Rhinolophus ferrumequinum: one gene and its partners. The protein of the gene in region 1 interacts with the protein of each later gene in a biochemical or structural test. Links are inferred from orthologs where the notes say so. Each region holds a gene or a part of one and is shown in the gene's direction. Other genes may lie near its edges.

Region 1 (3,747 bases):
TTCTTGCGACTAATATACATTGCTTTTCTAATACAAAAAAGCTTTTGAAGAAAAAATTTTAAAAATGTGACCAATAGGCATTTTTGTCTCTCTCCTCACGCGTATTAAGAAGAAACAATTTGGGGCTGTGGAATATTCCTTTTCCCCTCTAACCTCAAACACACCCAACCTGGATGACTGGATACAGCTTTTCCCTCCTTTGATTCACTGAGTCTACAGTGGCCCTGCCCTATTGGCCTAACCTTCTCTACTTAGTAGGTGAGGCAATATAAGTATTGACAGGGCTCTCTACTGCATGACTTTTGGCAAGATCCTTCTCTTAGGGGCTCCAGTTTCTCCTGTCTAAATTCAGGAGTCAGAATCAATGATCTTAAAGGTCCCTTCTGGATAGAGGAAAGAACAGTTTTAGAATCAGAAAACCTCGGGGTGCACTTGAGAACGTGGACATCATCTCCCAAGGAAAATATTCCTTACTAATCTCCCCTGGAAGTGTCTTCAGCCAGATAACAAGCACCTCCCAGCCCAGGCCTGGCCTTATATCTCATTGATCCTGGTACAGAGTTCGACACAGAGTAGTAGTTGCTCAGTGAGTTAGCTTTTTGCCTCCACCCCCTAAAAAACAACTCCAGAATAGGTTTTCTAAACTTGTTCCTGATGGTTATCTGAACCACAAGGTTGGTTTTAACTACCGGAACACACAAACTGTACAAGTTTTTTTCTGAGGTAATTGGTACAGTGCGTGTTTGTAACAATTCACCAAAGAGCGTGAGGTCTGGGTACTTCTACGACTGTCATGCCAATGCTGAGACGTTGAAGTTGTCACCCAGCTGACGCCTCGATCGGAAAAGCTATCTCAGGGCTGCCCGGAACTACATTCCTTGCAGGGGTCCAGGCTGTTACACGCGGCTTGGGAAAGTTCTAGCTTTGCCACTGTGGAACTGTGTGACCTTGGACAAGTCCCTTCCTCCTTAAGAACACTGCAGTGGGACTAAGTGCCTCCTCCCGGGTTTGTCTATGCTATGGGGACAGTCGAGCGACCGGGAAAACATTCGCCTGTAAACGTTTATTGATCTCTGATGACACGCGCGTGTCAAAAGCAAGGGACTCAAGAGTCGCGGCGCGGGAGAATCCATGACCCGCGCCACGGCTCTCGCGAGATCTCCTCTCTGGGCTCCGCGGCGTCATCTTCTAGGGAGCCGTGGCGGCGACAGCGACGGCGACGGCGCGTAGATACTCACAGGGGCGGCCCGTATCCCTCCGCCGCAGACGCGACCCAGCCCTCCTCCCCCTGGCCCTCCAATCCCCGAGCCTTCCGACCTGCCCCTCGGCCTGGGCCCACCCCGCGCTCGGGCGGCCCCACCCCGGCGGCGCCGCCCGCCCGTCCGCCCGCGCGTCTCTCGGTCCACCTGCAGCAGGCAGTCCCTCCAGCTGTCCGACCCAGAGGCGCCGCCGAGCCTGAGGCCTGGGCTCTTGCTACCCGGCGGAGGGATCCGCGCCGGCCGAGGAGGCGGTGCTGAGCTAAGAAGGAAGAGGCAGCTACGGCGGCAGCGGCGGCGGCGGCGGCTCGGGCGGCAGCGCATAAAGGGGCCGCCGCCGGGTGATGCGGTGACCGCTGCAGCTGGCTCGGGAGCCGAGTGGGCCTCGGCCCTCAGTCGGTCCCTGCGGACCCGTGCTCCCGGACTCTCCATCTTCTCCGGTCGACCCGTGATCACCGAGGCGGCCTCGCGCCCCCTCGCCCCTTCCCCATCCCTCCCCTGTCCCCGTCCCCGCCCCGGGGGCTGCCGCCACCCGCCTCCCACGATGGCTCTGAAGAGAATCCACAAGGTAAGCGGCCGGAGGTCGGTTGTGGGTTCGGGCCGCCGGGCGGGCCAGCTGAGCAGGCCGAGGCCTGCACTTCCCGCCGTCGCCTCCACCGGGCTCGCATCTTCTTCGGACCCGGCTGCCCGCGAAGGCCCCGCCGGGCGGCCTTCACACCCCACTCCCAGTGATGGCGCCGGTGGAGGCCCGGGCGCGCAGCCCGCGCTTAGGCCGGAGGTGCTCTGGCCCGCTCAGAGTTCCTTCCCGGCCTCCTTTCTAGGCTCTGCGGTGGTATGGAGTCCCAGGGCCTCTCCCCGGCCGGGGACTGCTGCGCTAGAGGGCCATTGTCCCGGCATGCCGGGAGGGGGGGCTGGGGCGTTGGGCGGCCCCTTCGACCGAGGTCGAAAGGGCTCCTTGCCCCTCTCTGCCGGTTCTCCCCTCCCCCCCACCTGCCCTGGCTCTCCTCTGAACCGCCCGAGCTTGGGGCCCACATATCAGGCAGGCAGAAGAAGCCTTTTTGTCCGATCCACAAGTATTTCTTGAGTGCACTCACCTCTTGGCGGCCGCACACTTTGGTCCACTCTACTCGTCCAGAAACTGTTCAAGTAGGAAGTTCAGAAAGGAAAAAAACTTGATTCTTTGAGGGAGGAGGGCAGTAGAGGGAGAAGTGTTTTATTCCTGAGGTTGCCAAATGTAATCAGAAACTTCAGTTTTGCAGGAATGGATCTTACAGAAAAGCTGTTAAATTGGCAGGGGTAGTGGTAGAAACCTGAACATTGAAACCCACTGGAGAAGTTACACAAAGTTTCCCTTTACAGCTTAAATTAGGTGATACATTCAGGGAGACCCTTTTAGTTTCGAAGGGATTTTGTTAGATTTTTCCATTAGAAAGGACTTCTTTGCCCTTTAAGATGAAGGGTTATTCAGTTAGTTACCTATACGAATGTTTCCCTAATACTGCTTCTAGAATATAGACTTTGCTTAAAATTTAGGGTTCCCCCCTCTAATATTGTAATTTCCTAGTGCCTTTCACTATCATGTTTTTTTCATAGAAGTGGGGAAGCACCACTGGTGATTTTTGTTTGGTGTTTCAGTTGGCTGTATTAAACCTCTAGCTATTTAGGAGTAGATCCTGGGATTATCCATCCTGAAGGATGGGGTGGAGATGCAAGGGCAAGAGAACCAATTTTCACCTTGCCTTACACTTAGTGAAAGTGCTGATTGGTGGACAAGTTAAACTCCTCAGCTCAGCAGTTGGTCCTCATTTCATTCTTGATCCAAGACCTTTAATGTGAAATTAATCCCAATGGTTACTGTAAATTAGGTTAGATCCTTACCAACTTCTTTTGACTTCTTTGATTTCTAACAAATGAAAAAGGGCAATCTTTAGACAGAGTAAATCTTGTACTGAAATGAAGCAGGTTATTTGTTAAATGAAGCTTGAACTTTAAGCAAAGATCTCTTAACCGTTCAAGGGGCAGGAACACACTGAGGAATGGTCGTCCAAGTAAAACTATATATGCTTTTTTTTATATATATGCATTTTTAAGGGTTTTAGGAGTTACTAGGTTTTTATAAAGTCTCGGGGAAGTTACCAACTTGAGATTATTGCCTGTAGAAAATTGTGCTCTTATTTTAAAACCTAAAGAGGAGTGAGTATATGTGATAACTTACAGTCAAGAGATGTAGCCTTTCATTTCTACAGATTGATAACGTGTTACAGGGATCTTTTACAGAGTGGGGAAATAGCACTCAAAACATGCATTTTAATCTTCCAACGTGCTTGTTCTCAGTAATAATGTTTCTTTTGAGTTACTATAAATTCTCTAGATTTTCTCTAAAGTATCCCCTTATAAAAATTTGAATGAGGAAAATCAAGTTTAGACAATGATAATTTGAACTTTCAAAACTTAGTATGTTCCCCCAGTTTATTGCCTAGAGCCCTCCTCA
Region 2 (3,747 bases), on another chromosome or scaffold:
AGCACCAAAAAAACCCACATTCACTATGAATTATTTCAATCTTGTTCTCTTGCCTCTGTGACAAAGTATAAGCTCGTGGAACGTTCCTTTCAAGAGCTCAAACTGGAGGCCCTGGGTGGATTTGAAGCCCAGGTCTGAGGCTCTCTTCCCACCACCACCCCTCACCCACATCCCCACCCCCACCTCCCCAGGGTCTGGCAGCAGCTACAGGGTCAACACAAAGGCTTATAAATACCGGCAGCTACCTCTGCCCTCTGTCTGCCCTGGAAGGGAGAGAGGAGAGAGAGCAGATGAATGGGTTCCTGGCATAGGAACAGGAAAAAGAAACAGGAAAGTGTAAGTAATCAGAGGCCTCGTGGGCTGCTGCCTACCTGCCAAATTATTTTTTGGTGAAAAGATGCCCACGTGGTTAGCTGAAAATAATCCTCCTGATGCCACCAGGTCAAGCAAAATCAATCCAGATGATTGGGAATAGGACAAAGAAGGCACAAACTTGCATTCAATTAACCTGGTTTAACACACGAGGTTTATTTGTCCCGTGTAGCCTCCTTACTGTGAAGCCTTTGTGGCCTTTCAGGTGGAGGTTTCATTGATCGTTAATTTTCCTGGTTAAGCAAACCACGCAGGGTTGTTAGCACAGCCTGCCTTCTAAAAAGATGTATCTTTTGTTAAATGGGCTGCATACAAGAGCTAACTGGGTGCAGTAGAAAGTGGAGGAAGTTAGGATTCAAAACATATGGGGTCTAGGCCTGCTCCTTTCTTGTGAGATTGAGGTTTAGTCTATCTCCTTAAGCCCCAGCTTCCTTGTTTACACAGAGCAGGAGCTGGATTGCATTGCCAGGAGACACGTGAACACAATATTAACGTTGACTCACGGAGCGAGACTGGCTTCCCATTACTTCTGCTTTCGCTAGCAAGTCTCAGTGTGGCGATAGCCTGTCTTCAACACCTGTCTAATAATGGCTAATTTCTCTTTTCAGCGTCAGCAGTATCCAGCATGAATGAATGATATTTTGTTTCCATTTGTATTTTTGTTTTGTTTCCATTGTATTTTTACAATTTCCTTATAGAAATAAGTGAAACTGATTTTCTATTTGTGGCTCAGGAGTGATATCAAATCTCCCTTTAAAATTTGTTTGCTTACGTTTGAAGGAAGCAACTCGGTTTGAAGAGAAATATTAAGTAATAGTGCATAAGTAATATTAAGTAATAGTAATAATTTAAATTTAGAAAAGAGGCTGAAGCACAAAGCCCGTTCCAATACTACCAGTCTGTGGATCTGGTTTCCACATTTTCCAGATTTCCGTCCGCCTCTTCCCCCCTCCCTCCGGTCAGAGGGGCCAAGAAGGCGTGGCGCATCCACTAGCCCCGCCCCAGCCAGGCGTACATTCCATAATCCGAGCTCTTAGCGGCCCTTGCTGCCCAGGAGCCCCGCCCTCTCTCCGCCCCGCGCCCCACCCCTCGCGTGCACCAGCGTGCCTCCTCGGCCCCGCCCCATCGGGCTCCTCCTCGGCCGCCGTTGCGGGGCGCTCCGCGGCAGCAAGATGGCGGCGCAACAGCAGGACCCTGAGGGTGGTGCGCAGCTGGCAGGGCCCGCGGCTGAGGCGGACCCACTGGGCCGTTATACGTGTCCCGTGTGTTTAGAGGTGTACGAGAAGCCGGTTCGGGTGGTCTGCGGACACGTGTAAGCGGCGAACCGGGGCCTGGTCGGGGGGCGCCTGACTGGGACGGGGAAGGGATCCGAGGGGCGAGGCCCCGTCAGGGAGCGTCTCGGGCGGGAGCTAGAGGACCGGCCTAACGGGGCTTCTCCAGGGGGCCCTCCCGGTCTCCTGAAGGCTCGTGAAAGTTGGCAGGGCGCTCTTGTCTCCCGTCCTGCTCTCTCCCAAGTATCCCGCCCTTCTGATGAGCGCCCGCTGTGTTCAGGCCGCCTGTCAGCACCTTCCCACGAGCGATGGTGGAGTCGCACCGTGCTTGGGGTTAGGTACGGTCTACAGTCCGCTGTCCTCGAGAGCCCCAACTTCCCTTGAGTAGTGCGTACACCTCCTCTAAAGTCGATGCATACGGAGTCGTGTATCCAACTCTGCCAAGTAATTGTAACGTGCACGAAAGTTGGAGAAACGCTGAACTAGACTAAACGAACAAAAGGGAAGTCTTGACGTAGATCGGAGCGCTCTGCCCTTAACTGGGACAGGGACTGCGAGTTGGCAGACAGGGATTGCCAGCGTTCCTCCTTCCGTGGGTACGAAGCTTGTTTCATGGTACTTGAAATCACGCCTCCATGGCCCGCATATTACTAACAGACATTGTGAGGACAAAAGGAGTTGGGGGTCAATGTCAGTGTGGGTCCCGGGCTGGGATAGGTGCTTGGAGGCGTTTGAGCTCCGTCAGACACAAAAACACACCTACGTTGAAAGAACTGTAGAAAACTTGACCATCCGCTTCTTGCCTCGGAGAGTTGGCATTTCCTCCATGGCCTCCCTCAATGCTTGTCGAGGGCAACACGTTGGCATTGGGCTTAGGACCCCTTTACTGGTCAGTCGGCACGCTAGGCACCGGCGGGGCCTCCCAGGCATTCTTATTTCCACAGCAATCCTGCGGGGGAAGAGGGTTGGGGTTGGCAGCCATATTGCAGGTGAGAGTTCTGAGGCTCACCAGGGTGTCCGACTCTTCCCAGATGGACTGCAGGCATCTGTTTGCCTGCCCAGAGAACAGCTGGCACCTGGCAAGGGCTCCCCGGCCACACTGAGTGCCTTTTGCTTCTTCAAGTACATGAAGCTCTTTCTCCCTGGCTGTTCTCGTTTGCAGTTCCCTTAGCCTGGAACTCTTCGTGCCCATCTGCACCGCCCCCACCGCTACCCGACATCCTTTTCAGACCTCAAGTCCCAATTTGTTACCTCCTTTATCACCGTCCTCATGGAAGTCACCTCCAGTTTCTTGCACAGAGCAAAACTGATGGATCACGAGGGCAGTGACCATGTCTGCTTTGCCCCTCTCTGTATCCCTAGTGCCCTGCACAGTGACCATCCATCTTCTAATCTTATATTCCACAGACTGAAATATTTGTGTACTCACTCTGTGCCAGATGCTTGGGACATAGTAAGAAAGAAGGCCATGCTGCCCTCAATTCACGAGGCATTGACTTGATGATAAGTACAGAGGGTGCCAAAAAAAATGTACACACATTTTAAGAAAGGAAAAAGCTGTATTAAAATTGTAATACTCAATATATACAGATAACAAGGATAGACAAGTCATGTGTATACATTTTTTTTGGCATCCCGGTAAGTACCAACAAATGTTTAGACTGTTGTGAAAATTCATTGTGCAACGGGAGGTTACTGTAAGGATCAAACCTGTGTGTGTTGACGGAGGTGGTAATGGATGAATAAAGAGACTTGACCCAGTACAATTGACCAGCTGAACAGCAGCAAAATTTGAGGTTTCCCTGAGCCAGGTGAACCTTCCCTGGATCAGAGGTCAAGGGTCAATACTGGGATTCAAACTTTTCTATACTCATCATACTAGTTCCACATGTTTATCAGTTCAGTGTTGATTGAAGACAGATGGATGCACCTCACTGAGGGCAGCGCAAGTCTCCCTTAGCTCCAGCCACCTGCTTTTCGCTGCCCCTACTTGGTTTTTGCTAACTTTCGTGCTTGGAAATTTGAGCATCACTGCAGCTCTGGCTGGGTGGGATGTTAGGTTTTTATAAAACTTTCTTTCAAGCCCTGAATGACTATGTCCTCC
Region 3 (3,747 bases), on another chromosome or scaffold:
TGGCTGGTGTCTGAAGTGGAGGGCGGTCTTCTGGGACTGAGCCCTTTACCTGTGGAATCTGATGCTATCACCTGGGTAGATAGCATGAGAATTGAATGGAATTTTTGGACACCCTGCTGGTATCTGAGAATTGTTTGTTGGTATTGGGGGAATCCTCTGTCTCTCATATTGGAATTGGGTCTAAGGAACCCTTTTCAGGGATATGGTTCTTACGTTGTTGAGATGATGAAATGAAATGATGCATACAAAGTACTTAGCACAGTGTCTGGCACATAGTAAGTGCTCAGCGAACACTAACCATTAATATTTGGGGCAACCACCCTTTCCTTGAAATTCCCCAGCCCCGTGTGTTCTAGGCCCCCTTCTCTTTCTCTGACTGGTCCCCCTCTTCTTTTCCCTCTTATTGCCTCCCCCAAGGTTGGCTTCTTACCCTCACTACTCACTAGGTCTAGTCTCAGGGCTCTGACCATCAACTTCTTTCCACACTGAGGCCATCAAACCTGCTCTCCTGCCATCCCTCTTCCATGAAGTCCTGGACACTCCTATATGTTCCATACCCTCGTAGGTACATCCTGAGGCCTGATGTTACTGCTCCTACTCTCACCCCCCGCACCTTAGCCTGGTGGCCCTCTGTCCCTTTACATGAGATTCTACCTTAAAAGCAGTCATTGGAACTGCTGTAATGACTTCTACCTGTCAGCCCGGAAGATGTCCAGAGGGACATGGAGAAAAATTTAAATTGGTGCAGAGAGCAGAAGGGAGCATCTGATTAACTTCTAAGTGACTTGGTAGAACTTAGTTATTTCTGTCTGTCTTTCTCCCGAGGCTGTGAGCATCTCAGGGCAGAGAAAAGGATTACTCATCTATCTGTCACCTTGGTTCCCAATGTATAGTTAGTACTCAGAAAAATATCTCATGAATGAATAAGATTCCTGGCTTTGCCACTTACTTTTTTTGACTTTGACTAAGGTCCTTATTTGACCCCAATTCAAAATCTATAAAGTGAGGGGATTGGACTATGTTTTAAGGGAGCCCTTTCAGCATTACAGTGGCATTAATGGCCAAGGGATGGGGGTCAGTCTAGCCAGGGTGGGGATCTCAAAGTCTCCAGAAACATGCTGTGCTCAGGTCTGAGGCAGAGGGATGGGCTCAGAGAGAGGGGCTGCCCGGGATTCCAGAGCAGGGATGGACCTAGTGGTCACTGAGGGGGCACTGGCTATTAACCCCACAAATCCCAGTGGCCCATTCTCTGGGTCCCATCCCTAGCCTGGTGTGGGAGGAGACTGATTTCTGGAGGAAACTCTGGGTACCCAGTCCTCCCCCAAGTGTGCCCACGAACAGGCTGTTCTTGTTTACGACCCCCGTCCCAGGGGAACAGCGATTGCTCATACGTACATGTGATTTGAGAGGCCAGTCTTGCAGGCCTGGAGGAAACTCAAGCCCCGCCAGCCGCACTGGCACTGGAATGCTCAGCTGGTCCCCTCCTGGGGCTCATGTGACCAGGGTCCAGCTATAAATATCGGAGGGGCCTCAGACCAAGACAGAATTCAGGCGCCGACAGAAGAAGGCCAAGAGGCTCCAGGCAAGTGTTTTGTGACAAAGGCAAGACCGCAGGTCTACTCAGACAGAAGCAGGTAAAGGAGGCAGCCAGGTGGGCCCCACACCTCCTGACAGTATGGATTATAAATCAAGCCTGATCCAGGATGGGAACCCCCTGGAAAACCTGGAGAAGCAGTTAATCTGTCCCATCTGCCTGGAGATGTTTACCAAGCCGGTGGTCATCTTGCCGTGTCAGCATAACCTCTGCCGGAAGTGTGCCAGTGACATCTTCCAGGTCAGTTCTGGGCATGGCCTCGTCCTGGGGGCCCAGGTGGCTCCTCAGCTTTCCTGTGATGAAAGCTCATCTCTCTTAGCCCAGGATTCTTCTAAGCCAGGCCGGTTCTTTCCCCTGCAAAGTCAACCCCTGCAAAGGCCACTGGACAGGGCTGAGGGCGGCTGGGGAGGCAGCTCTGGCTGCCCTTCCTTTTCCATGACGCATATTTCCCCTCCCCACCCTGCCTGCAGCTCTGCCACCGGCCATCTCTGCCCTGAGCACCGCAGTTGACTCTTCAATCAGGAATCAAATGCCTCAAGTGATAAGTGAGGGAGGCAGGCAGAGAGGAGAGAGAAACCAGACCCCTGGGGCTGGAGCCAGCTCTCTGGTGGCAGGTGGCCCAGAGCTGCAGGAGGAGGGTGGCCGGGAGGCCCTGGGCAGTGGAGCATCTTCCCTTTCAGGCTTTTGCCTCTAATATAGGGGAGGAGGGGCTTCATCTCCCTAAGAAAGGACTGAGAGTGGATGTCCTGGCTGGAAGGCAGTACTCAAGATTCCCCAGGAGCACTTTACAAAGTGTTCTGTCACTATTTTATCTTTAAAGTAGCAGCCCTAGGAGCTGGCTCTAATTACAATGCCCATTTGATGAATAGGTAAACTGAGGTTTGGAAAGAAGGTTGCTTGCCCCGAGTTACTCGGAGAATAACTGTGACTCAAACCCAGGCCTGCTGACTCCCAAACCTGTTGATTGCTTCATTGCTTCTCAGGTGCTCCCTGTGTAAGCGATCTGCCTCTCCTCTCAGGATAGGGGCTCCAGGTCATGTGGTTTGAAAAAAATGGTTGGAATAAGCAGGGGGCAGGATAATCGGAGATTAGAAAGGGCTGAGGAGGGAGCCCAGGCCTCATCTCTGCCTTTGCCACCCACAGGCTGCAAATCCCTACTGGACCAACCGGGGTAGCTCGGTGTCCATGTCTGGAGGCCGTTTCCGCTGCCCCTCCTGCCGCCATGAGGTGATCATGGATCGTCATGGAGTGTACGGGCTGCAGAGGAATCTGCTGGTGGAGAACATAATTGACATCTACAAGCAGGAGTGCTCAAGGTCAGTTTCTCCGGCTGCTGCGAGCCCGTCCTTCCTCCCCAGCCATTCTGTGCCCAGCTTCCCAGGCTTCTTCCTCCTTCCTCTGTTTGGGATCCTGTCCCCTTAGTTGGACGAGTGACCCTAGCCAGTCTCCCTCTTTCTCAGGCAGGAACAGAGAGGCTCACTCTATCCCCCCACCCTGATTCTCCATGTGACTCAGTGAATGAGAAGGGGCCCAGGCTGCCCTCCTGAAAAATACTGAGATAGGAACCAGGGAACAAAGATGAGATATGAGAGGGAGAGAGAGACGCTGGGGCCAGCTAAGTGGCCCTGATAAACAGAGAACGCGCCGTGAGAACATAGCCAGTTTCTCTATCGTGAATCCACAGCTATGGTCCCATGTGCCAGGAGGCACAGTGCCAGGCACAGGGAACCTGCTGCTTCACAACAATGCTATGGATCAGGCATGACTTTCATCATCCCCATTTCACAGATGAGGAAGCTGAGACTCAGAGAGGTGAAGTCAATCACCCAAGTTTTCCCAGCTGGGAAGGGGAAGAGCTGGGAGTAGGCCCTGTTGATCGAGCTCCAGGTCTCCATGATTGTAGAGTAGCAGCTCCGTCTCAGGCAGTTTGTGAGTGGTAGAGCTTGTGTAGTGTTGGGCCTCCAATTGGAGAGAGACACAGCTACTAGGGAGATCTTTACAAATCAGGACATCCTGACAAGACTTCCAGGCTGCTGACCTCACAGATCTTATGGTCCCAAACCATCACCGAGTGCCTGCCTGCAGGCAGTGTCCTGCCCAAGGAAAGGTGACAGACCAGTCCTAGTGAGAAAAAGCCCTGGCCTGGGGAACTG

The links.
Region 2: the proteins of UBE2D2 (region 1) and RNF114 form a complex in vitro, tested with the Homo sapiens proteins (3 studies listed by BioGRID, with this or other methods). The link is inferred for Rhinolophus ferrumequinum from reciprocal best matches to the Homo sapiens genes UBE2D2 and RNF114.
Region 3: the proteins of UBE2D2 (region 1) and TRIM63 form a complex in vitro, tested with the Homo sapiens proteins (2 studies listed by BioGRID). The link is inferred for Rhinolophus ferrumequinum from reciprocal best matches to the Homo sapiens genes UBE2D2 and TRIM63.

Annotation. Positions count from the first base shown.
Region 1 is NC_046307.1:14,298,096-14,301,842, forward strand, and holds the start of UBE2D2 (ubiquitin-conjugating enzyme E2 D2), read left to right. Parts: upstream 1-1,175; 5' UTR 1,176-1,800; coding exon 1,801-1,824; intron 1,825-3,747.
Region 2 is NC_046306.1:9,562,427-9,566,173, reverse strand, and holds the start of RNF114 (E3 ubiquitin-protein ligase RNF114), read left to right. Parts: upstream 1-1,496; 5' UTR 1,497-1,544; coding exon 1,545-1,684; intron 1,685-3,747. UniProt on the Homo sapiens protein: E3 ubiquitin-protein ligase that promotes the ubiquitination of various substrates. In turn, participates in the regulation of many biological processes including cell cycle, apoptosis, osteoclastogenesis as well as innate or adaptive immunity.
Region 3 is NC_046292.1:17,859,412-17,863,158, reverse strand, and holds the start of TRIM63 (E3 ubiquitin-protein ligase TRIM63), read left to right. Parts: upstream 1-1,533; 5' UTR 1,534-1,675; coding exon 1,676-1,834; intron 1,835-2,737; coding exon 2,738-2,910; intron 2,911-3,747. UniProt on the Homo sapiens protein: E3 ubiquitin ligase. Mediates the ubiquitination and subsequent proteasomal degradation of CKM, GMEB1 and HIBADH.